4 linked regions of the Saccharomyces cerevisiae S288C genome follow. Changing the gene in region 4 together with the main gene of any one other region gives a genetic interaction. Each region holds a gene or a part of one and is shown on either strand. Other genes may lie near its edges.

Region 1 (3,468 bases), on a different chromosome or scaffold from region 4:
TAAAAAAAAAATACTAACCTCCTATTCATTTCAACTTTTTAGGCAATCAAACCATGAGGAACGACTTCAATGGAATAACCATCAGGATCCTTCAAAAAGGCAATATTCTTCATTCTGCCTTGGTTAAATTTAGGAGACCATTGGATCTTATCGCCGTATTTCACTTCAATTTCTTTACAAAGGGCGCCAGCGTCATCACAACTTATGCAGATGTGACCATAACCCTGGGGCTCTGAGTTACCGTTATGATAGTGGAAGTTTGGATCATTCTCAGTTCCCCAATTATGAGTTAACTCCAACACACTTTCACATGAAAAAACGCTGTCGGTCTTTGGAACGCCATAACCAAGAAAGTATAACGTAAATTTTGCACTTTCGTGCTCACTAGTTCTTAATAATTTCATGCCCAACACATTCTGGTAGAATTCTAAAGACCGGGTTGGGTTTTTAATACGAATCATGGTATGATTGAACTTGTTACCTACTGAGCCCTTTGGGTATTCCTGACCCTCTCTAGAATATGTGATCAACTCAATCCAGTATCCATCAGGGCCTAAAGCAAACGCAATGTCCTTCTGTCTTCCTTCAGAGAGTCTCTTCTTGAATTTGACACCCTGAGATTCTAGCTCTTCGCAGGTTTTATTGATATCGGATACAGAAAAACAGATGTGCCCAAATCCACGATGAGGTTCCTCATTCCCGTTGTTGATCTTGTAGTCTGGGTTTTTTTCAGTACCCCAATTGTGAGTTAGTTCTAAGACACCGTGTGCGCTAAAAACATCAGGCTCTCCATTCTTATTTTTGGGTATGTCGTCTTTTGGAAAGCTTAAAAAGTACAAGCTAAATTTTGCTTCTTCAAAATCCTTTCTGCTTAATAGCTTCATACCGAAGTGTTCGGTGTAGAACTTAACGGTCCTTGCTGGATCCTTGACTCTTAAACATGTGTGATTAAGCAGAAGGGTTGGATCATTCGAGGCTTTCTCAATCTGAATTGGATAGCGTGTACTATCAGTGGACATTGTTAGTTTGTAGCTGGTGGCGTATCTGGTCTGAAGTGTCAAAAAAAAGGCATGGAAATGTTATTCCGATTTTTTTTCTCCCTATTTATAAACGTCACTAACTAGAAATACGGGATATCAACTACTACGAGAGAGGGACATTCTAGTATCAAAGAAACTTACTATGACGCAGTTTAGGATCCCTGTGGTGACTACGTATCCAGGTCTACTACTCCATCGTAAAGCCCCTTGTTTATTCAGTGTCCAGATCATATGCGGGATGTGTATTTTGTGCTGAGTGGAAAAATAAGATCATATGCTCAAGAATAAAGGGTTAAAGGGTATGGAAATTTCAGTTCTCCCTGGCTCAAGAACATTGTCAGTATTCCTATAACTGAAGCTGAGTGGTACTAATGCACCGAGATGCAAAGTCCGAACCACCCCCACCCCCCTCTTTACCTATTTTTTATATTTTGTGATAAAGGGATAACTCGTCTTGCCTTCACTGCGCTTCGATTCTACTTTAGCTAAACTAAGCGTTACTTTGTTTGAGAATCTCTCAGCCGTTAAATCAACGTACTTGTATACTAAACAGTATATTCACGTGATAACTTTGCCTTACACCTATGATATAGATAAATATATACATATATATGAGTGTGTGTGCATTGCGTCACTAAACTATGTTTAATATGACAGAAGGTTTTCGTTTAATTTTGCCGCTACCCGAAAATTTTGGCAGTTGCAATTTATAACTAAAGGAACCACCTTATTGTAAATTCCTCAACGGAAAAGCTATGGCTTAGCTAGGGTTGACAATGTCAGTTTACCATTTACCAACGCTGTTGAACCCGCTGGTTAATGCTATATTTAACTGTCCCGAACCAGAAAGATCCCCATTGAAAAAGCTTTTCGCTAATTTAAAAACCCGTAGGTTTATCCTCCTAGCACCTCCTTCAGAATACCTTTTGAATTACCACGATGTCAAGAGCAAACTGCCGTTACATGACCTCTGTTATAATGCAGAGTTTATTAACTCTTACATATTGTTAATGACTGAAAACTCTTACATAAATACGAATTCAAGGGACAGTCATTATGAAACGTTAGATGGTAAGACCGTTGTTATTCAATGGAAGAATAATGTGATCCATGCCTTAAATGGATTTCATATAAGGCGAAGACTAAAGATTCTAGAGACAAAAATATTACCCAATTTTAATGACTACTTTGAAGGGGCGGCTGATTTTATCATACTATTCATAGATCAACCTTTAAATTGCGAATTTGTACCTAACGACTACTTACAGTGTTTTCACAATTATGAGAAAATACCAAAAAATGCACATGCTATGCCAAATCTGTCGATAGATTCTTTTCAGCAAGAAAGATCGTCATTCGAGAATATATTGCACATTCATCCTGCTCGATTAACACAGCTTGGCCAATTGTTTTCGAGTTACAGAACGCTCGCTCCTGGTGATGATCCATCTAGAAGTATTTTTGAAAGCATCGTGCAACAAGCATTTGATGGAATGAAATCGGATTCACTTTTCAAGAACTTTTCTAATCTTTACGATCTTATACACGACTATTTTGAACTAAATCTTTACGATGATATATGGTCTAGGCTTACTACACATTTCAAAGGCCACGAAGTAGACACTGAAAAAATAAATATTTTTCAGTGAACCAGTTGTTGACAGATTTTTACTCAAAAGATTATGGGGAATTTAAATTACACGACATCACTCTTATTGAAAGGCGTCTCCATCTAGCGTCCAAACATCTTCAAAAGTTGGCTTTGACCCATTCATACGCTGAAAAATCTAAAATATTAGTTGAAACTCTACAGAAATTATCAGGTACTACCGAAATGGATTCACATCAACTAGAACTACCAGACGGATTGAATAACATGACGATGGATGCAGACACTTTAATTAGCCTTTTTGTGCTCGTTGTTTGCAGAAGTGAACAAAAGCACCTTAAAAGTCATCTTTACTATTTGCAAAATTTTTCGAATAACTCTTCTTCTACAAAATTCGGCATTCTAGGGTATGCTGTATCCACACTGGAAGCAGTGGTTTGTTATTTCGAAGACTTCAACAAAAATACAGGCAACGTGGCGAAAGCTAACACATTATGTGAAAAAACTAAGAATTTATTAGATAAGTTGTCATGTGAAAACCCCACAAATGAAGTAGAAGATCTGGCAACATACAAGGATATTTTGACCTACAGAAATGAGCAAGGACAATCCATTCTATCCATATGTATAACAAATCATAAAAACTACATCTTATTAGATATTCTTTCTGAATATGAAAACGACTTTCCAGTAGAAGACCTTTTAGAGGACGAAACGATTGATGGTTCTACGCTGCTTATAGAATCGATAAAAGCAGGAAATTTAGAAGCCGCGAAAGTTCTCATAAAGATCATGCTGTTCAATTGTACTGAAGAGGAG
Region 2 (5,611 bases), on a different chromosome or scaffold from region 4:
ATTGCATTATTAACTTTTAATTTGACTCCTTTTACGCAGGATTCCTTACAGAAAAACTGTTTCGCCATCTTAATATATGCATCTTTATTATGGGCCACTGAGACCATCCCCCTTTTCGTGACTTCTCTAATGATTCCTCTGCTTATTGTAGTGTTCCCTGTTATCAAGGACCCTATCACCTCCCAACCAATGTCTCCCCGTGATTCCTCTCAGTTCATCTTATCAACGATGTGGTCGAGTGTCATCATGCTTTTGCTGGGTGGGTTTACTTTAGCAGCCGCCCTTTCCAAGTACAACATTGCCAAAGTCCTTTCTACGCATATTTTGGCATCCGCCGGTACAAACCCACATTTTATTCTTTTAACAAATATGTTTGTGGCGCTCTTTGTTTCCATGTGGGTTTCTAATGTTGCTGCCCCCGTTCTTTGCTATTCAATTGTTCAACCTTTGCTCAGAACACTGCCAAGAAATTGTTCCTATGCCAAAGCTCTAATTCTTGGTATCGCTCTTGCCTCCAATATCGGTGGTATGTCTTCTCCCATCGCTTCTCCTCAAAACATTTTTTCTATTGGTATAATGGACCCTTCACCATCTTGGGCTGAATGGTTTATGATTGCGCTACCTGTGTGCTTTATTTGTGTCATGGCAATTTGGGTGCTATTGATCATAACCTTCCCTCCTGAGCCAAATGTGAAAATTTTGCAATTGCATCCATCCCGTGATCCATTCACTCTGAAGCAATGGTTTGTCACTTTAGTTTGCATTATAACAATTGTTCTTTGGTGTCTTTCAAACCAAATCTCCGGTATCTTTGGTGAAATGGGAATCATATCTATTATACCTATAGTAGTCTTCTTCGGTACAGGTCTTCTAACTTCGGATGATTTCAATAATTTCATGTGGACAATCGTTGTTTTGGCCATGGGAGGTACCACCCTAGGTAAGGCGGTAAGCTCATCCGGTTTATTGTCTACAATGGCACAGTTAATTAAGGCGCAGGTTGAGCATGAACCAATCTTCATTATTGTGTTGATCTTCGGTCTAGTGATTCTTGTAATGGCCACTTTTGTCTCCCATACCGTCGCGGCAATGATCATCGTACCATTAATGAGTGAGATCGGTTCCAATCTACCTTCAGGTGATCATTCTAGACTATTGATCGTTATAGCCGCCCTATTATGCTCTAGTGCTATGGGTCTTCCAACCTCTGGTTTCCCCAACGTGACTGCCATTTCAATGATTGATGAAGTTGGTGATAGATATTTGACCGTGGGTACATTTATTACGAGAGGTGTACCAGCCAGTTTGTTAAGTTATGCCGCTATTGTTACAGTAGGTTATGGCATATTGAAAGTAATGGGATTTTAAGATTATCCATAGAGAGAATGAAAGGTTACTAATATAGTATGTATACGTGCACTATTATTTAATTTTACTTTATATTGCCTCTAATTATTCTCAATCACAACCAAAATACTTTGAATCAAAAAATCTGGTCAATGCCCATTTGTATTGATGATTTTGTAACTTTTCTCTGGAGATGATCATACCAGCAAAAATGTTGACTTTGTTATCAAATGCATTTAATATACGTCGGATACCAACTTCAGTGGCCAAATAAACCACCACGCTAATCTTTTCCAAATCAATACCATGATCTAAAAGCACCTGGATGGCCATGATCATGGCCGCACCACTTATGATTTGACCTTCCATTAAGAAAACCTTGCCAAACTTTTCTATATTTGGGGGTAAAAATTCGCAATGCAGTTGAGGTTCCCCAGTTTGTGAATCGGACTGAATCAACAATTTACCAATTGTGATATTGGGGATCGTCTTTCTCAAAGACTTCATAAAACAATCGCCAGATCGAATAATATTAACAGCTGTAACTTGATCGAATTGACAGGCAATAACGTTTTCCATGGTATGCTCACCAGGTGTAATTATGTTCGTATGTGCTACAGGAATGTCATCAAGTGCCCATGATAACAAAATTGTTGCTAACCTGTCAAAGTAGAAAACAAAGTCCGCGCAATTTAGATTTTTATTTAGAAGCATAGTATGCAGCGAAAGAACTTGGTTGGTGGGCGGCAATTCATGAATTATGTTACGATTAAGCACATCTTGTGAAGGAGAAGAGCCCAATTTGATTAGCTCTCTTAAGTGTTCATTTGATTTTAGTTCCAGTTTTGACTTGATGTGGTTAATGATTAAATTTACCGCTGTAGCATTATCACTCATCGATGGAATGATAGCATCTGCATTCTTCATTGTTGGTTTCACAAACTTTACCGCATTTGGTTTCACAAATTTCTCCCATTGTTGAATACAACCATCCAAATCTCTCCCTCTGGAAACTATATCTCTCGACAATCTTCTTGCTAAGCAGACATCCAAATCAGCGTCAACATAAATTTTCAAGTCCATCAAATCCAGCAATCGGCGATCGTAAAGGGCGTAGATCCCTTCGATAACTACCACACTGGCCCCGTATATGACTATATTTTTATCAGGAACTCTATTGTGGTGGACGAAGCTATAAACTGGGATATTTGTCCTTTTGCCCTCCTTTAAGTTCAAAATGCACTTATATGCCAAATCTAAGTTGATGGCATTTGGCTCGTCGAAATCGTATTCATTTTTAAAGGCTCTGGCTCTGTCCTCTGGGCCTAATGGATTGTAAAAGTTATCCAAAGATATTAATACTGTCCAGGGAACATTAATTGACGACACAATCTTAGCAGCAACGCTTGTCTTGCCTGAACCTGAAGCACCACCTATACCTATTATATATGGAGTTGTCCATGGTGGGATATACCGAGAGCTTTTTCCTTTTGTTTTTTTGACATCTACTTCACCATCCATGACTGCATTAGCTTTCAATGTGTCTCTTGTTTCATCGTCTAAAATTGAAATAAATGATGAAGATCGTTCTTTGGAAGGTGCTATACGATGGGACATAATAAATAAAATAAATGCGAGTTCGAAATTAAACGTATGAAATTATCGAAGATGTCGCATATAAATAGTAAATAAGACGTTATCCAAGGCCTACAGCCTTACGAAAAAAAAAAAAAATCACATCTCTTATCTTATCGATCTAAATTTTTCAGTTTCCTTTTTTCATCTCGAAGCTCATCGCATGAAAAAAAAACTTCGATATGTGAGCGTATTAAGACAATAGAGGAAATAGTGAGAACAAGTGGGAAAATTAAAGACTAATCATCGAAAATATGCAAGAATTCTTTAAGTGCTCGTATCTCAAATGTAGCCAAAACAGTACTAGCCCATACAACCTGATGACGAGAACGTGCTGAAAGTGGAAGACAGTTAGTTACCCGGACAATTAAAAAGTGATATTAATCAATTGTATAAGTAATAACGGATAGCTGCTATATGTTTAATTGGCATCTATATAGATAACAAGCGTGTATAGCAACACATGTCAAGTATTACATCTGAAACCGGTAAGCGAAGAGTGAAACGAACGTATGAAGTTACAAGACAGAATGACAATGCAGTAAGAATAGAGCCTTCTTCCTTGGGTGAGGAAGAAGACAAAGAGGCCAAGGATAAGAACTCTGCCTTGCAGCTAAAACGATCACGCTATGACCCCAATAAAGTTTTTTCTAATACGAACCAAGGTCCAGAAAAGAACAATTTAAAAGGAGAACAACTTGGATCACAAAAAAAGTCATCAAAGTATGATGAAAAAATAACGTCAAATAATGAACTTACTACAAAGAAGGGTCTACTAGGTGACTCCGAGAATGAAACTAAGTACGCCTCTTCTAATTCTAAATTTAACGTAGAAGTTACTCATAAAATAAAGAATGCAAAAGAAATTGACAAAATAAACAGACAACGCATGTGGGAAGAACAACAATTGCGAAATGCTATGGCGGGGCAAAGCGATCACCCTGATGATATAACATTGGAAGGCTCTGACAAGTACGATTATGTGTTCGACACAGATGCAATGATTGATTATACTAATGAGGAGGACGATTTACTACCTGAAGAGAAACTTCAATATGAGGCACGTCTAGCACAAGCTTTAGAAACTGAGGAAAAGCGTATACTGACTATACAAGAGGCAAGAAAACTTTTGCCTGTACATCAATACAAGGATGAGCTACTACAAGAGATCAAAAAAAATCAAGTTTTGATTATAATGGGTGAAACCGGTTCTGGTAAAACCACACAGTTACCCCAATATTTGGTAGAAGATGGATTCACTGATCAGGGAAAGTTACAGATTGCCATAACACAACCACGTCGTGTGGCGGCCACTTCTGTTGCTGCAAGAGTAGCAGATGAAATGAATGTTGTGCTTGGGAAGGAAGTGGGTTATCAGATCCGTTTTGAAGACAAAACAACCCCAAATAAAACGGTTCTAAAGTATATGACGGATGGTATGTTACTAAGAGAATTTCTTACAGATTCCAAATTAAGCAAATATTCTTGTATTATGATTGATGAAGCTCATGAACGTACTCTAGCCACAGATATCCTGATAGGTTTGCTGAAAGATATTTTGCCGCAGAGGCCCACTTTAAAATTGCTTATATCATCAGCAACAATGAACGCAAAAAAATTTTCAGAGTTTTTTGATAATTGTCCCATTTTCAACGTTCCTGGGAGAAGATATCCTGTAGATATCCACTACACATTACAGCCGGAGGCAAACTATATACATGCCGCTATAACAACTATTTTTCAAATTCATACTACGCAAAGTTTACCGGGGGATATATTGGTGTTTTTAACGGGGCAAGAAGAAATTGAAAGAACAAAAACCAAACTGGAGGAGATCATGTCTAAATTAGGTTCTAGAACAAAACAAATGATTATAACTCCTATATACGCAAATTTACCCCAAGAGCAGCAATTGAAAATTTTCCAGCCGACTCCGGAAAATTGTAGGAAAGTTGTTTTGGCAACTAATATTGCGGAAACTTCATTGACCATTGATGGTATTAGATATGTCATTGATCCTGGATTTGTTAAGGAAAATTCGTACGTACCCTCCACTGGAATGACCCAACTTTTAACAGTTCCATGCTCAAGAGCTTCAGTTGATCAGCGTGCCGGTAGGGCTGGTCGTGTTGGGCCGGGAAAATGTTTTAGAATTTTTACCAAATGGTCATATTTGCACGAGTTGGAACTTATGCCTAAGCCTGAGATCACAAGAACAAATCTTTCTAATACGGTGTTATTATTATTATCGCTTGGCGTTACTGACCTAATAAAGTTTCCCCTGATGGATAAGCCCAGTATCCCCACATTACGGAAGTCTTTGGAAAATTTATACATTTTAGGTGCCTTAAATAGCAAAGGGACAATCACTCGGTTAGGTAAAATGATGTGCGAGTTTCCTTGTGAACCTGAATTTGCAAAAGTGCTTTATACAGCTGCTACGCACGAACAATGTCAAGGTGTACTAGAAGAGTGTTTGACCATAGTTTCGATGCTACATGAAACACCTTCATTATTTATTGGTCAAAAAAGAGATGCTGCGGCAAGTGTGTTAAGCGAAGTGGAAAGTGATCACATATTGTATTTGGAAATCTTCAACCAATGGAGAAACTCTAAATTTTCCAGAAGT
Region 3 (7,957 bases), on a different chromosome or scaffold from region 4:
CATCCTACCATATGCGCAAAACTTATTGTCTTTCTCCTCCCAGTGATGCTATATTCCATGCATATTCTGAACGATGGTTTGTGTTTTTATCAAGCAAGGTTAATCACATGGCGTGGCTTGCTCCACACATCAGTAGAAAACGCATACCGCAGCGGAATCCTTAAATAATAAGTGATTTTACTGTTCATCAACTACAATCGGACTCTTTCACAATTACCCTTCTTGTTTTCCACATTTATTGTTAATCAAGGAATATACAAAAGCTCATGAAAGCCTTTATTGAACACTAAATAGAAACCCTCCTGCCACGAAAAACTTCAAGATCGATAACTTTAATCTTAAAAATTTGACACATTTGAAGGCGACGACTCCGGGCCGATCGATGCCCTGAAAAAAAAAAAAAAAAAAATAAAGGCGACCTCGTTTAAGGTGAATATGGAAGAAAATGGTTATATAATTGCTTGAACATTTGTCGTTATATATTAACAATAGCATCAACCGGTTTACTAGCAAGTGAGTCTAAAATATGATTTTTTAACATAGATATTGATGACCCATGTCGTTGAAGTGGACACACATCGAAGAATACCACAAAAGGAAGAGAGGATTCTTGTCCTTGCTCCGCCAAGTTGTTCATAAATATCACGATTGACCAGTAGTAACAATATTAATATACACTTACATATAATCAACTATTTATACTATCAAAAAAAAAAAAAGCTTTTTTTTTTTTTTCCGTTATTTCTTAAGGTTTATGGAATTTCATTCGTAAAGGCATCAGTCTCTAGTTTGCGATAGTGTAGATACCGTCCTTGGATAGAGCACTAGAGATGGCTGGCTTTAATCTGCTGGAGTACCATGGGACACCGGTGATCATTCTGGTCACTTGGTCTGGGGCAATACCGGTCAACATGGTGGTGAAGTCACCGTAGTTGAAAACGGCTTCAGCGATTTCAACTGGGTAGGTTTCAGTTGGATGAGCGACTTGGAAAGAGTAGTATTGGGCCAAGTGAGCTCTGATATCAGAGACGTAGACACCCAATTCAACCAAGTTGACTCTTTCGTCAGATTGAGCTAGAGTGGTGGTTGCGGAAGCAGTAGCAGCGATGGCGGCAACACCAGCAGCGATTGAAGTTAGTTTGACCATTGTATTTGTTTTGTTTTTTAGTGCTGATGTAAGCTTAACAAGAAATAGTGAAATGAAAGCGCATACCTCAAAGATGGATAGCTACAGCAGCTCTATTTATATGAATGTCTTGCCAACTTCCCTGGCACAAACGAGTTATCATCTGGCACCCATCTCTCACCTAAAATGCCTCAGTGTACAATTTTCATCCCACATTCATTATTCATATTATTACGGTGCTTCTGTACTTGAACGATGCGTCTTTCATAGGTCCCGTATACGAGGCGCACGCTTCATAGTGCCTATACCTTTTATTGCATTTCCAAGGCACAAGAATGTTTTCTCACAGTGTACATACTTCCGAAGAATCCCTTTAGGGTGCCTTCAGAGATGCAGCTGCAGCTTTTGGCCAAGAAAAAGCCAAAACCAAATTTGCTTTGAACCCTCGTTAAGAGGCCACCTAATCTTTGTGCTCTAAACGGTTGCTACGGGAAAATTGTCGATTCTGTTTTTCTTAAAATAGAAAGTGAAAGACTTATCGAATACCGGAGTCGTATATTGTAGGTGCCTACAGTCTTATACACTGCCAGCAAAAATGTTGACAAGAATAAATGAGCATTCGAGGTGCTACGAAGCCCTAGTTCTGAAACAGCGGAACTTCCACTGGATCAAGCTGGCCATACCGGAAACTATACCGGAAATTGATAAATCAACATCTTAATAAGTATTATATAATTTTTTTTGTAATACTAATAATCGGAGAACAGCACCAGCGCTTCGTATGTTAGGCAACGGTTGCCGCCTAGGTCTACGTTTCTCTATTCATTATATGGTAAGTGAAGGAGACAAAAAGTGGCGGCTTACATACAGAACTTCTATCCTATGGATGTACCTGCAGTCTTTCTGTTTGGATGAAATTGATAGAGGGCTTAGTGTTACTAATACAGAAAGCCTTTAAGCCTTTTTCTCCCTTTTATTCACCGTTTCAATATGTCTATCATTCTGGTCATGTGTTTTTCTTCCAGGAATTTACAATTATTACAGCGATAAGTAATCATACGTATCCAGATTATAGGCCCGTTGCTGAAGAATAACTACACTTCTCTGATATATAGTTATAGCTCAATAACTAATGGCATAGGGGACACAGATTTTCGTAGTCAAATTTCTCAAAGGATAAGAGCGTCATTCCACCTCTTCTCTTCACTTCGTTGGCTTTTATATATTGATTGTGGGGTGTTAATGTTGTAGAGTTACCGAAGTAGCAAGATTCTTATGCGCTTATTTTCTTTTGCTTAATCACACTGTCTAAAGCATATGGATTATGGACAGATGATTGGTTTAGTTCATCTGAAGGCTAGACAATAAAAGGCGGGTTCGGAAGGGGGTAGGCATGCTCAGACTTGACGTAAACGCATAAGCCGGCAATGTTGAATCGATTTTGTAACTCGCCTGAGTGTTACATGAGATTACATATAGGATCGAACCATCACGAAATCAATTACGCTGTGTTATTGAATCATAAAATCACAGAGCTTCCCGAGAAAACGCTAAATTATGTGTCAAGTACTGTGGGCATCTCTTAACGCTATCTTATATTCATTTCACTTTTTATATCTAGTCCTTTTCTTTTCTTTATTAAATAAAACTACCACCTTGTATGATTCTTAGCAAGACATTCCAGCATTAATACCAGCACAGGTTTCTTCTCCCTTGTTTTCATCCGAAGAGAAAGGATAGTGCTTCTTATGCTTCATTAATAATTTGGAATTCACATTTATATACACGCTAAATATCATAATGAACGAGGATCATGTAGAAAAACACATTTACCCATAATGGTGAAACAAATTATCAACAGTGCTTTTACGTTATCATCATTTACATATAAAAAATTTATCTAACAAAAATCATGTGAAAAATCATCTGTTATTTCGTTAAAGTACGCGCTAAAAAAAAGTCGGCACTAATTTTATTTGACGAGGTAGATTCTACCTTCCCATGGTTTCAAAACTCTGGAGGAAACGTCAGTATCATCATAATTTCCAAGAATAAAAGATAAAGAAGCACCTTCTCTTGGGAGGCTGAATTCAATTTCTTCGCCACTGAAATTCAAAGCAGCAAACAGCGTCTTGTCTTCGTACTCTTTAGTGAAGCTAAAGATCTGGTCACTGTCTAAATCAATGAATTGGAAATCGTAACCATAAATCATAAGTTCCTTATATTTCTTTCTGGCTTGCAAGGCCCTTTTCCAAAAATTGAGAACTGAGTCATCATCTCTGGATTCCTGCTCAACATTGATTCCTTGCTCAAAAGATTCATTCAAGAAAAACCAAGGTTTAACATCTGGGCCAGTAAATCCAGCATTGGGCTTATCTTTCGTCCATGGCATGGGAGTTCTCGAATGATCTCTAGAAAGTAGGGCGATTCCTTTAAAAAAATCCTTCATTTCCTTCGAGTTTTTACCAAAACTTTTTTTGATAATCTCGTAGTTGTTTTTCACATCAACGTCCTCATACTTTTCAATAGGCCATTCCTTGAAATTGATCTGGCCTATCTCCTGACCTTGATAGACATACAACGTACCTGTCAATGAACATTCTAGCAATGTTAACAGCTTACCAGATATTTTACGGTACTTTGGCGAATCGTCAGCAAATCTCGTAATTGACCGGGCTTGATCGTGATTCTCGATGTAGGTGGTAGCCCAACTATCAGTACCGTTAATGAACAAAAAGTTCGATGCAATGGCTTCTTTCCATTGTTTCAAGGTGAAGGGCACTATGTTATAACGGAAAAATGGCGAGGTACCAAGTTCAACGTGCGTGAAGGAGAAAACTTCGCTGACTTCGTATCTAGCTGCACTGGTGTATAAAGCATTATCACTTCCATGGGCAACTTCACCGACTGTCATTATTTCTCTACCATCTTTCACCCTGTTTTTCATAAATCTGTGTAGTTCTTGATGATATTCATGAATCCTAGGACCATTGTGAGACCCCCAATTTGGATGTTGTAATTTCGAGGTTTTGTCAAAAATTGGGGAATCTGGTAAACCAGGACGTTTCGAATACAAACCAGCGGTATCGATTCTAAAACCATCTACACCATGGTCCAGCCAAAATCCAACAGCACTTTCAAAGATTGCCCTTCTGCAGTCTTCATTCTCCCAATTCAAGTCAACTTGACGACTCGCAAACAAACGGAGGTAAAATTCATTTGTAGTTTCATCAAAAGTCCAAGCTGAACCACCAAAGAAAGATTTCCAATTGTTTGGAGGAATTGGCTTGCCTTCGGCGTCATAACCTTTAGGAGGTCTCCAGAAGAACCAGTCACGCTTCGGATTGGTCTTCGAGGATCTGCTCTCTTTGAACCATTCGTGTTCTGTAGAACAGTGGTTGATAACCAAATCGGTGATGAATTTCATACCCAGCTTATGAGTCTTGTCAATTAGCTCAAAACAGTCCTCGTTGGTACCGTATGTGGGCCAGACCTTTTCGTAGTTAGATATATCATACCCCATATCTTGTTGAGGAGAGTCATAAAACGGACAAACCCAAATAGCATCAACGCCAAGATCTTTAATATACTGCAACTTGGAAGTGATACCTTTTAAATCACCCCAGCCATCGTTATTGGAGTCTTTAAAACTTGCTGGGTAAATTTGATAGATTGTGGCCTCTTTCCACCACTTTGGTTCTGTTTCTGGATGATCAGAAATAGTCATTTATGTATTTTAGTTACGCTTGACTGATGTACATTTGAGATTATCAAAAAAACTGCTTAAGAGATAGATGGTTTAATTTTTTAGAGACGTATTAATGGAACTTTTTATACCTTGCCCAGAGCGCCTCAAGAAAATGATGCTGAAAGAAGAATTGAGGAAGGAACTACTCATCTTACGTTGTTTGTATCATCCCACGATCCAAATCATGTTACCTACGTTAGGTACGCTAGGAACTGAAAAAAGAAAAGAAAAGTATGCGTTATCACTCTTCGAGCCAATTCTTAATTGTGTGGGGTCCGCGAAAACTTCCGGATAAATCCTGTAAACTTAAACTTAAACCCCGTGTTTAGCGAAATTTTCAACGAAGCGCGCAATAAGGAGAAATATTATATAAAAGCGAGAGTTTAAGCGAGGTTGCAAGAATCTCTACGGTACAGATGCAACTTACTATAGCCAAGGTCTATTCGTATTGGTATCCAAGCAGTGAAGCTACTCAGGGGAAAACATATTTTCAGAGATCAAAGTTATGTCAGTCTCTTTTTCATGTGTAACTTAACGTTTGTGCAGGTATCATACCGGCCTCCACATAATTTTTGTGGGGAAGACGTTGTTGTAGCAGTCTCCTTATACTCTCCAACAGGTGTTTAAAGACTTCTTCAGGCCTCATAGTCTACATCTGGAGACAACATTAGATAGAAGTTTCCACAGAGGCAGCTTTCAATATACTTTCGGCTGTGTACATTTCATCCTGAGTGAGCGCATATTGCATAAGTACTCAGTATATAAAGAGACACAATATACTCCATACTTGTTGTGAGTGGTTTTAGCGTATTCAGTATAACAATAAGAATTACATCCAAGACTATTAATTAACTATGAAGGGATTATCCTCATTAATAAACAGAAAAAAAGACAGGAACGACTCACACTTAGATGAGATCGAGAATGGCGTGAACGCTACCGAATTCAACTCGATAGAGATGGAGGAGCAAGGTAAGAAAAGTGATTTTGATCTTTCCCATCTTGAGTACGGTCCAGGTTCACTAATACCAAACGATAATAATGAAGAAGTCCCCGACCTTCTCGATGAAGCTATGCAGGACGCCAAAGAGGCAGATGAAAGTGAGAGGGGAATGCCACTCATGACAGCTTTGAAGACATATCCAAAAGCTGCTGCTTGGTCACTATTAGTTTCCACAACATTGATTCAAGAGGGTTATGACACAGCCATTCTAGGAGCTTTCTATGCCCTGCCTGTTTTTCAAAAAAAATATGGTTCTTTGAATAGCAATACAGGAGATTATGAAATTTCAGTTTCCTGGCAAATCGGTCTATGTCTATGCTACATGGCAGGTGAGATTGTCGGTTTGCAAATGACTGGGCCTTCTGTAGATTACATGGGCAACCGTTACACTCTGATCATGGCGTTGTTCTTTTTAGCGGCTTTCATTTTCATTCTGTATTTTTGCAAGAGTTTGGGTATGATTGCCGTGGGACAGGCATTGTGTGGTATGCCATGGGGTTGTTTCCAATGTTTGACCGTTTCTTATGCTTCTGAAATTTGTCCTTTGGCCCTAAGATACTATTTGACGACTTATTCTAATTTATGTTGGGCGTTCGGTCAACTTTTCGCTGCTGGTATTATGAAAAATTCCCAGAACAAATATGCCAACTCAGAACTAGGATATAAGCTACCTTTTGCTTTGCAGTGGATCTGGCCCCTTCCTTTGGCGGTAGGTATTTTTTTTGCACCAGAGTCTCCATGGTGGCTGGTTAAAAAAGGAAGGATTGATCAAGCGAGGAGATCACTTGAAAGAACATTAAGTGGTAAAGGACCCGAGAAAGAATTACTAGTGAGTATGGAACTCGATAAAATCAAAACTACTATAGAAAAGGAGCAGAAAATGTCTGATGAAGGAACTTACTGGGATTGTGTGAAAGATGGTATTAACAGGAGAAGAACGAGAATAGCTTGTTTATGTTGGATCGGTCAATGCTCCTGTGGTGCATCATTAATTGGTTATTCAACTTACTTTTATGAAAAAGCTGGTGTTAGCACTGATACGGCTTTTACTTTCAGTATTATCCAATATTGTCTTGGTATTGCTGCAACGTTTATATCCTGGTGGGCTTCAAAATATTGTGGCAGATTTGACCTTTATGCTTTTGGGCTGGCTTTTCAGGCTATTATGTTCTTCATTATCGGTGGTTTAGGATGTTCAGACACTCATGGCGCTAAAATGGGTAGTGGTGCTCTTCTAATGGTTGTCGCGTTCTTTTACAACCTCGGTATTGCACCTGTTGTTTTTTGCTTAGTGTCTGAAATACCGTCTTCAAGGCTAAGAACCAAAACAATTATTTTGGCTCGTAATGCTTACAATGTGATCCAAGTTGTAGTTACAGTTTTGATCATGTACCAATTGAACTCAGAGAAATGGAATTGGGGTGCTAAATCAGGCTTTTTCTGGGGAGGATTTTGTCTGGCCACTTTAGCTTGGGCTGTTGTCGATTTACCAGAAACCGCTGGCAGGACTTTTATTGAGATAAATGAATTGTTTAGACTTGGTGTTCCAGCAAGAAAGTTCAAGTCGACTAAAGTCGACCCTTTTGCAGCTGCCAAAGCAGCAGCTGCAGAAATTAATGTTAAAGATCCGAAGGAAGATTTGGAAACTTCTGTGGTAGATGAAGGGCGAAACACCTCATCTGTTGTGAACAAATGATTTTTTTAGCCAGTAGGTAGATACGGCGTTATTTAATTTTATTTTATATAACTAGTACTTAACACATCGAGTTTATTTTTACTCGACATTATGACTTTTTTTTGGTTTTGTTGCGGCTTTGAAGTTTTTTCAACTAGAGGTTATTATTTTGTTCTGAAAAAACGTTAATGATTTAAATGAATCATTGTGATGAGGGTCCTAGATTTAAATATCTTGCAAAAAGAAGTACTAATATACAATTTTTTCATTCCCGTTAATGAAAATGCTTGAATTTTTATATTGTATATTGATACACTCTATTCATGTTCCGGCAACAATTATTTTTTTTTTAATTCTGTAAATTTACTTTTTGACGTATTCTTTCAGCATTTCTGTGCTTATGTT
Region 4 (5,996 bases):
ATAGGATTTGCGAGAAATATCTGCTTCACTATCACTTTCCGTGCGACGTGTGTATTTGTTAGCGTAGGTTGCTTATCGTTTTCACACAAAGATCTCAAACGCGTCAAAAAACTCGTGTAAGAGGTCAAAAAGAAAAACAAACAAAATAAACAAACAAAATAAATGCAGCTTTAAATCAATATTCGGCGAAGGCAAGTAACGGTTGCTAGCGGTTTTTCCCATTCACATACTATTACACTTCTGCGGTACCAAGCTAGATTAAGTGCTAGATAATAAACCTTTATGATGCCAGCTAACGAAGATAAAGAGAATAATATCGTATATACAGGGAATGAAAGTTCCGGCATTAACTTTCCACAGACGCCGGCTCACTTGCTGAAAAGGTCGCACTCTAATATTTTAAAACCACCTGTAAGATTGGACCAACTCAAAAGGGATGCGAACAGCAACAATGGCAACACATTAAAGTACATACAAGGAGGGAAGGAGGTGTCACCCACAAAAAGGTTGCATACCCATGCGCAACAACAAGGAAGATTGCCTCTGGCAGCAAAAGACAACAATAGATCGAAAAGCTTTATTTTTCCCGAAACTTCTAATCAGAGTAAAGATGCAGACTTACCACAACTACAGAATACACTATCTATACGCAAAAACGACCAACTCAGGAAACTTTCGCAAATTTCTCGCAGTCGTAGTAGGGCCAACCATAATGATTTGTTAAGCAATTCAAGAAAGTTACAAAAGTACGGTTCTGTCCTTGGTTATAATGCTTTACCTAAAATGAAAAGTCTAGTTTTAAAAGATCTTGCAGATTCAGGTAAAAATGAAGAGAGTTCCGACGATGATGAAGGTAATGAAGATTCCGAGAGTAAACTTGGCAAAAAACTCCAAAGTGCACTTTTAAAACAGGATTCCTCCGACGGTGAAAATGAATTAAATGGTGGCCTAGGACTATTTAATGAGCAAGGTGGTCTGCAACAACTCATAAAGAACTCCACGAAGAATGAGCAAAAAACTAAAAACGATAAAAGTGATAAAACTGATGACTATGATATCGAAATAGCACCACAGAGGCAGGAGCCGTTACCGTATGTACCAGAAGGCTATTCCCCATTTCAACAAGATGATATTGAAAAGCTGAAGACGTTCAACTCACCATATAAGCTTGACTTGGAAGACGAAGATGACACCCCAGATAAAGTTGATTTACTCCCACTAGAACAAATTGATGAAGAAGGCGAAAAAGATGAGACTGAGTGCATCACTCGGAATCAAGAAGAAGGTGCAGCGTTACCACTGCTGTCTAAGAACTTCAAAGAAGTTGCCGCCGTCCCAACCATGGAGTTAGTGTACAGCGAAGAAGGCCTCGATCCTGAAGAACTAGAGGACTTAGTTACTTAGATCCACTGCTCATTCACATACACACAACATATATACACGTATATACAGATACTTTATAACATACAATTCTGGTTAAAAGCGGTTGCTCCTGCCGCCGGGATTTAATCTGCGGCCTCACCCATACCTCAACTACCGCCATTGTTCGTACGTTTTAAATGGCTTCGCTTCACCCTTGATTGGCAAAGGGTCCAAGAGGGATCACATCACGATACTATTGTTTCTACTAATGTGCTGCGGGCTGATGTCCTCCACACGTCTTCAATTGCTTCTCTTTATGGGTTCTCAAAGTACTTCGTCATAATTACTTCATTATACCTAAGAAAATAATTTCATTTTTTTTCTGAATTTTTTAGCAGAAAAAAAAAAAGTTCAAGTTTGGCCTCATTCGCAATATTTTCTCCATGGAAACGGCTTGTATCTTGAGGCTTCTCCTACTTGTTTGGCGATTTTATTTTATTTTTCCTACTCTTATGGTCCCATATGTACATCTACATATCTCTTCAAATTACCAATACACTTTTAGGATAGCTAAATTTACTACTTCGTGTGGGAACTATATTCTGTTCACTTTTCTTTTTGATCCTTTCTTGACTGACATCATCCTTTTCTCATTCAGTAAATACCCCAATATTTCCTCATATCTCTAGAGGCATAAAAGATAAGAATAAAGGGAAGGAGCGCCACAGTAGTGTTGTTTTTGTAAGTGGTAAACACAGAAGAAGTAAGAACACATGACAATGACACACCAACAGGATTTGAAAGGTGTGTTCACCGCAAAGGATTTGGATTTTAAGCCCGCTGGCAAGATTACTAAAAAAGATTTGAATACAGGTGTCACTAAGGCAGAATATGCTGTAAGAGGAGCTATTCCAACCAGAGCTGACGAGCTAAAAGAGGAATTGAAAAAAAACCCAGAAGTTTTGCCTTTCGATGATATTATCAATGCGAACATTGGTAATCCGCAGCAACTGGATCAGAAGCCTTTGACCTTTACCAGGCAAGTACTGGCCATCCTGGAGTACCCGGAAATTTTACGAGTAGGCCATAATGAACTGGCTTCTTTGAACTTGTTTTCCAGGGACGCCTTGGAAAGAGCTGAGCGCCTCTTGAATGATATTGGCGGTTCTATAGGGGCATATTCGCATTCTCAAGGTGTGCCAGGAATAAGGCAAACAGTTGCTGACTTCATTACTAGAAGAGACGGCGGTGAGCCCGCTACACCGGAAGATATTTATTTAACCACTGGCGCTTCGTCCGCGGCAACTTCTTTGTTATCTTTATTGTGTAAAGATTCTCAAACAGGCCTGCTGATTCCAATTCCGCAGTATCCGCTTTATACTGCATCCGCATCTCTTTTCAATGCACAAGTGCTGCCATACTACTTAGATGAGGAGTCAAATTGGTCTACAAACAGCGACGAAATTGAAAAAGTAGTGCAAGATGCTTTGAAAAAACAGATCAGACCATCTGTGCTGATAGTTATTAATCCAGGTAACCCAACCGGTGCAGTTCTTTCTGAAGAAACCATTGCCAGGATCTGTTTGATCGCTGCGAAATACGGCATTACAATCATTTCTGATGAGGTCTATCAAGAAAACATTTTCAACGATGTTAAATTTCATTCGATGAAGAAAGTCCTAAGAAAATTGCAGCATCTTTATCCAGGAAAATTCGATAACGTTCAGCTCGCCTCTTTACACTCCATTTCTAAAGGATTCATGGATGAGTGCGGCCAAAGAGGCGGTTACATGGAAATTATTGGGTTTTCTCAAGAAATAAGAGATGCTCTTTTCAAACTCATGTCTATATCCATATGTTCTGTTGTCACAGGACAAGCTGTGGTTGATTTAATGGTCAAACCACCCCAGCCTGGAGACGAGTCCTATGAACAAGATCATGACGAAAGGCTGAAAATTTTTCATGAAATGCGTACGAGAGCAAACTTATTGTACGAGACGTTTAAGGAACTAGAGGGTATCGAATGCCAAAAACCTCAGGGTGCAATGTATCTTTTCCCTAGGCTTGTTTTACCTAAGAAAGCTCTTTGTGAAAGCGAACGCCTTGGCATCGAACCTGATGAGTTCTATTGCACATCTTTGCTAGAATCTACAGGTATTTGTACTGTCCCAGGGTCTGGGTTCGGACAAAGACCCGGGACTTATCATGTGCGAACAACGTTTTTGGCTCCAGGGACTAAATGGATTCAAGACTGGAAAGAATTTCATCAAGATTTCTTCAGCAAGTATCGTAATTGAATGAAAAAAAAAAACTAATGATAATGGCTTTCTATTTGTTTTGCATCCATGGTGGGGGTGAAGTTTAAATTTGTAATAGTATACATGCATCATTCTTTACTAAGGGAAATAAGGAAAAGTATATATCTGCCTCTTGTAATATTGTTCAAGGAAATAAATTTTGGAGCATTCCTCTGCATCTATTGTTCAATTAAAAAAAAAAAAAAAAAAAAAAAAAAAAAAAAAAAGTAATTATTCATATAAAACCACCTTGCGGGCAAGATCATATTATCCAAGTTGATACTTATTTAAAAATATAAAAATTTTTTAACCGCGTACATTAAATACAGGGTCATATACAGGAAGAGCTTTCAACACCTTTTTGAATACTTTATATGCAATAGGTGCTTTTTTTTTTCACCTATGGTGACTCCTCCTTTCATTCTATCCTACATATTATTACAATTCCATTGATGTGCCAAAGTCTCTTGTTTGATCTCCATTACCCTGTTGGTCTAATTTCTGTCGTTTTGTTGACGGCGATTCCAGAGTTTGATAGTAGGAAGTTTCTGGTCTAGTTATTTCGACACTTTGATCTACTTGTGATGCACCGTCACTTTCTTTTTGATCCCCTTTTTCAGGCTCTTCTGTTCCCTGCATTGGGGCTGCCACGCCGGTGGACTCTATTCGGTCCTCATCGACATTATGAGGAGGCTTTTCTTCGGGAGTTAAGGTATTAGGTTCAAATTCGCCCTCTGAAGAATCATGTGCCAAATCATCATACTCATCGATATAGTTTTTTTCAGTTAGATCAAATTGTTTTTGCACTTCTTCTTCAAAGTTATCATTTCCTATATTGTTATTATGAAGAATTCCATTATTGTTACAGCTATTATCCGCTTCATTAGCAAGGGCAAAAGTATTGACATCTTCCAAATATATAAGACCTTTTCCACCTGCCATCTTGAACATATTACGGGAATATGTGTTTTCTATAACCCTTTCTCTCTTAGTCTCAAACTTGGCATTGTGACCTGGAACTTCACTAAGTAGTACTTGCACAGGTTTACGTTTCGTTCTCTTATTTCTCCTTCGGTTGAATCTGTAAGGGCCATATCTTAGGCACTTACCCCAATCGGCTAGACATTCCTTCTTATAACTATTTAGAGCATACTGAATGCACAGTATACCCCCAGTATGAAATCTCGCAGAACTCTTCAAACCCAAGCCAATACGGAGACCGTATTTTGATGCAATTTCTTCACAAATATCATAAAGATCATCTTTATCTAAAGTGCTTGATGTTACGAAAATTGGAACCCTAGCAAATGTTAAAAAAAGTGAGGAAACAACTGGGATAAGATGTTTGAATTTGGTACTCTTAAGTGGTAATAACCACATAAAACTAGAGCGATAGTCTCGGCATAAAAGGACATAAGAATATTTTCCCTCAATAGCTTCTCCATTGAAGGGTTCGAATACCTCAATATGTATCCTTTCCATTGGTAGTAGTTTATCGTACATGTCAGGACGTTTATATTCCTTCAATGGTTTAATTTTGCCCTTTTTATTACATTTTGAACAAAATTGCTGGACCCAATCGATGATGGCATGACTAATATTGGCAAAATGAGAAAATAAAAAGGAATGTAATGTTTTACCCCTAAGATGCTTATTCATCAAGTGTGTTGCCATCACCATGTCGTATACATGCTTTGGCTCACAGTATATTTTATCATTATTTCGGCCATCTCTAACATTTCCTTCATCATCAACATAATACTGTCTTTGCAAAAATAACAGCTTGTTTTCTGCCACTACACCATCGTATTTATCACTTATTTGTTGCAAGGTATCTGCAGTTAAAGATTTTGTTTTTATTAGTTCATATATTTTCTGCGTTAGTTGTCTTGTCAGAGATTCAAGAAAGATTGGTGTTTCTCTTTCTCCCCTTTCCAATAATTCTAAGTTCAAATAAGAGTCTACGTACTCAGTATATGATTCCCCCATAGAGGGAAGTATCAGTAGACGATCTTTTGAGGACTCTCTTGATTCCCCAGGTGACGTTGCCTTTCTTCTCTGCGATTTCCTCGTAACTGATTCTGATGGTACCGAGTCATCATCATCAAACAACACGTCATTGTAACGCGGTTTCGTCATTGTTATCCTCAGCACAAATTCACACTCACACAATCGTTAAATTGTTCTCCCCCCTGAAGGCTTAATTCAATGTCGTTAAAATGAATACATGCGATGAGGAATCACCTCGCAATTTTTTTTTCTTTTCAATATATCGCGAAAAAGAAAAAATATCAGTATTATCATGTAAATAATTATGGCTGACACCTCATATTGAAT

What was found.
Region 1: mutations in ALT2 (region 4) and YML003W together harm fitness more than expected from each alone (negative genetic interaction), as found in Saccharomyces cerevisiae (one large-scale study listed by BioGRID).
Region 2: mutations in ALT2 (region 4) and URK1 together harm fitness less than expected from each alone (positive genetic interaction), as found in Saccharomyces cerevisiae (one large-scale study listed by BioGRID).
Region 3: mutations in ALT2 (region 4) and YBR298C-A together harm fitness more than expected from each alone (negative genetic interaction), as found in Saccharomyces cerevisiae (one large-scale study listed by BioGRID).

The regions. Positions count from the first base shown.
Region 1 is NC_001145.3:261,667-265,134, forward strand, and holds YML003W (uncharacterized protein), read left to right. Parts: upstream 1-1,816; coding exon 1,817-2,689; downstream 2,690-3,468. Other genes in the region: lactoylglutathione lyase GLO1, read right to left, coding at 39-1,019; VRL1 (Vrl1p), read left to right, coding at 2,875-3,468.
Region 2 is NC_001146.8:644,785-650,395, reverse strand, and holds URK1 (uridine kinase URK1), read right to left. Parts: upstream 2,965-5,611; coding exon 1,459-2,964; downstream 1-1,458. Other genes in the region: PHO91 (Pho91p), read left to right, coding at 1-1,368; DEAH-box RNA-dependent ATPase PRP2, read left to right, coding at 3,446-5,611. UniProt on the Saccharomyces cerevisiae protein: Catalyzes the conversion of uridine into UMP and cytidine into CMP in the pyrimidine salvage pathway.
Region 3 is NC_001134.8:802,247-810,203, reverse strand, and holds YBR298C-A (uncharacterized protein), read left to right. Parts: upstream 1-4,947; coding exon 4,948-5,169; downstream 5,170-7,957. Other genes in the region: seripauperin PAU24, read right to left, coding at 785-1,147; alpha-glucosidase MAL32, read right to left, coding at 3,099-4,853; MAL31 (maltose permease), read left to right, coding at 5,729-7,573.
Region 4 is NC_001136.10:675,904-681,899, reverse strand, and holds ALT2 (alanine transaminase ALT2), read left to right. Parts: upstream 1-2,135; coding exon 2,136-3,659; downstream 3,660-5,996. Other genes in the region: PDS1 (securin), read left to right, coding at 283-1,404; replication fork barrier binding protein FOB1, read right to left, coding at 4,098-5,798. UniProt on the Saccharomyces cerevisiae protein: Inactive alanine aminotransferase. Forms a catalytically active Schiff base with PLP, but lacks alanine transaminase activity, probably due to an altered structural conformation of the dimeric enzyme.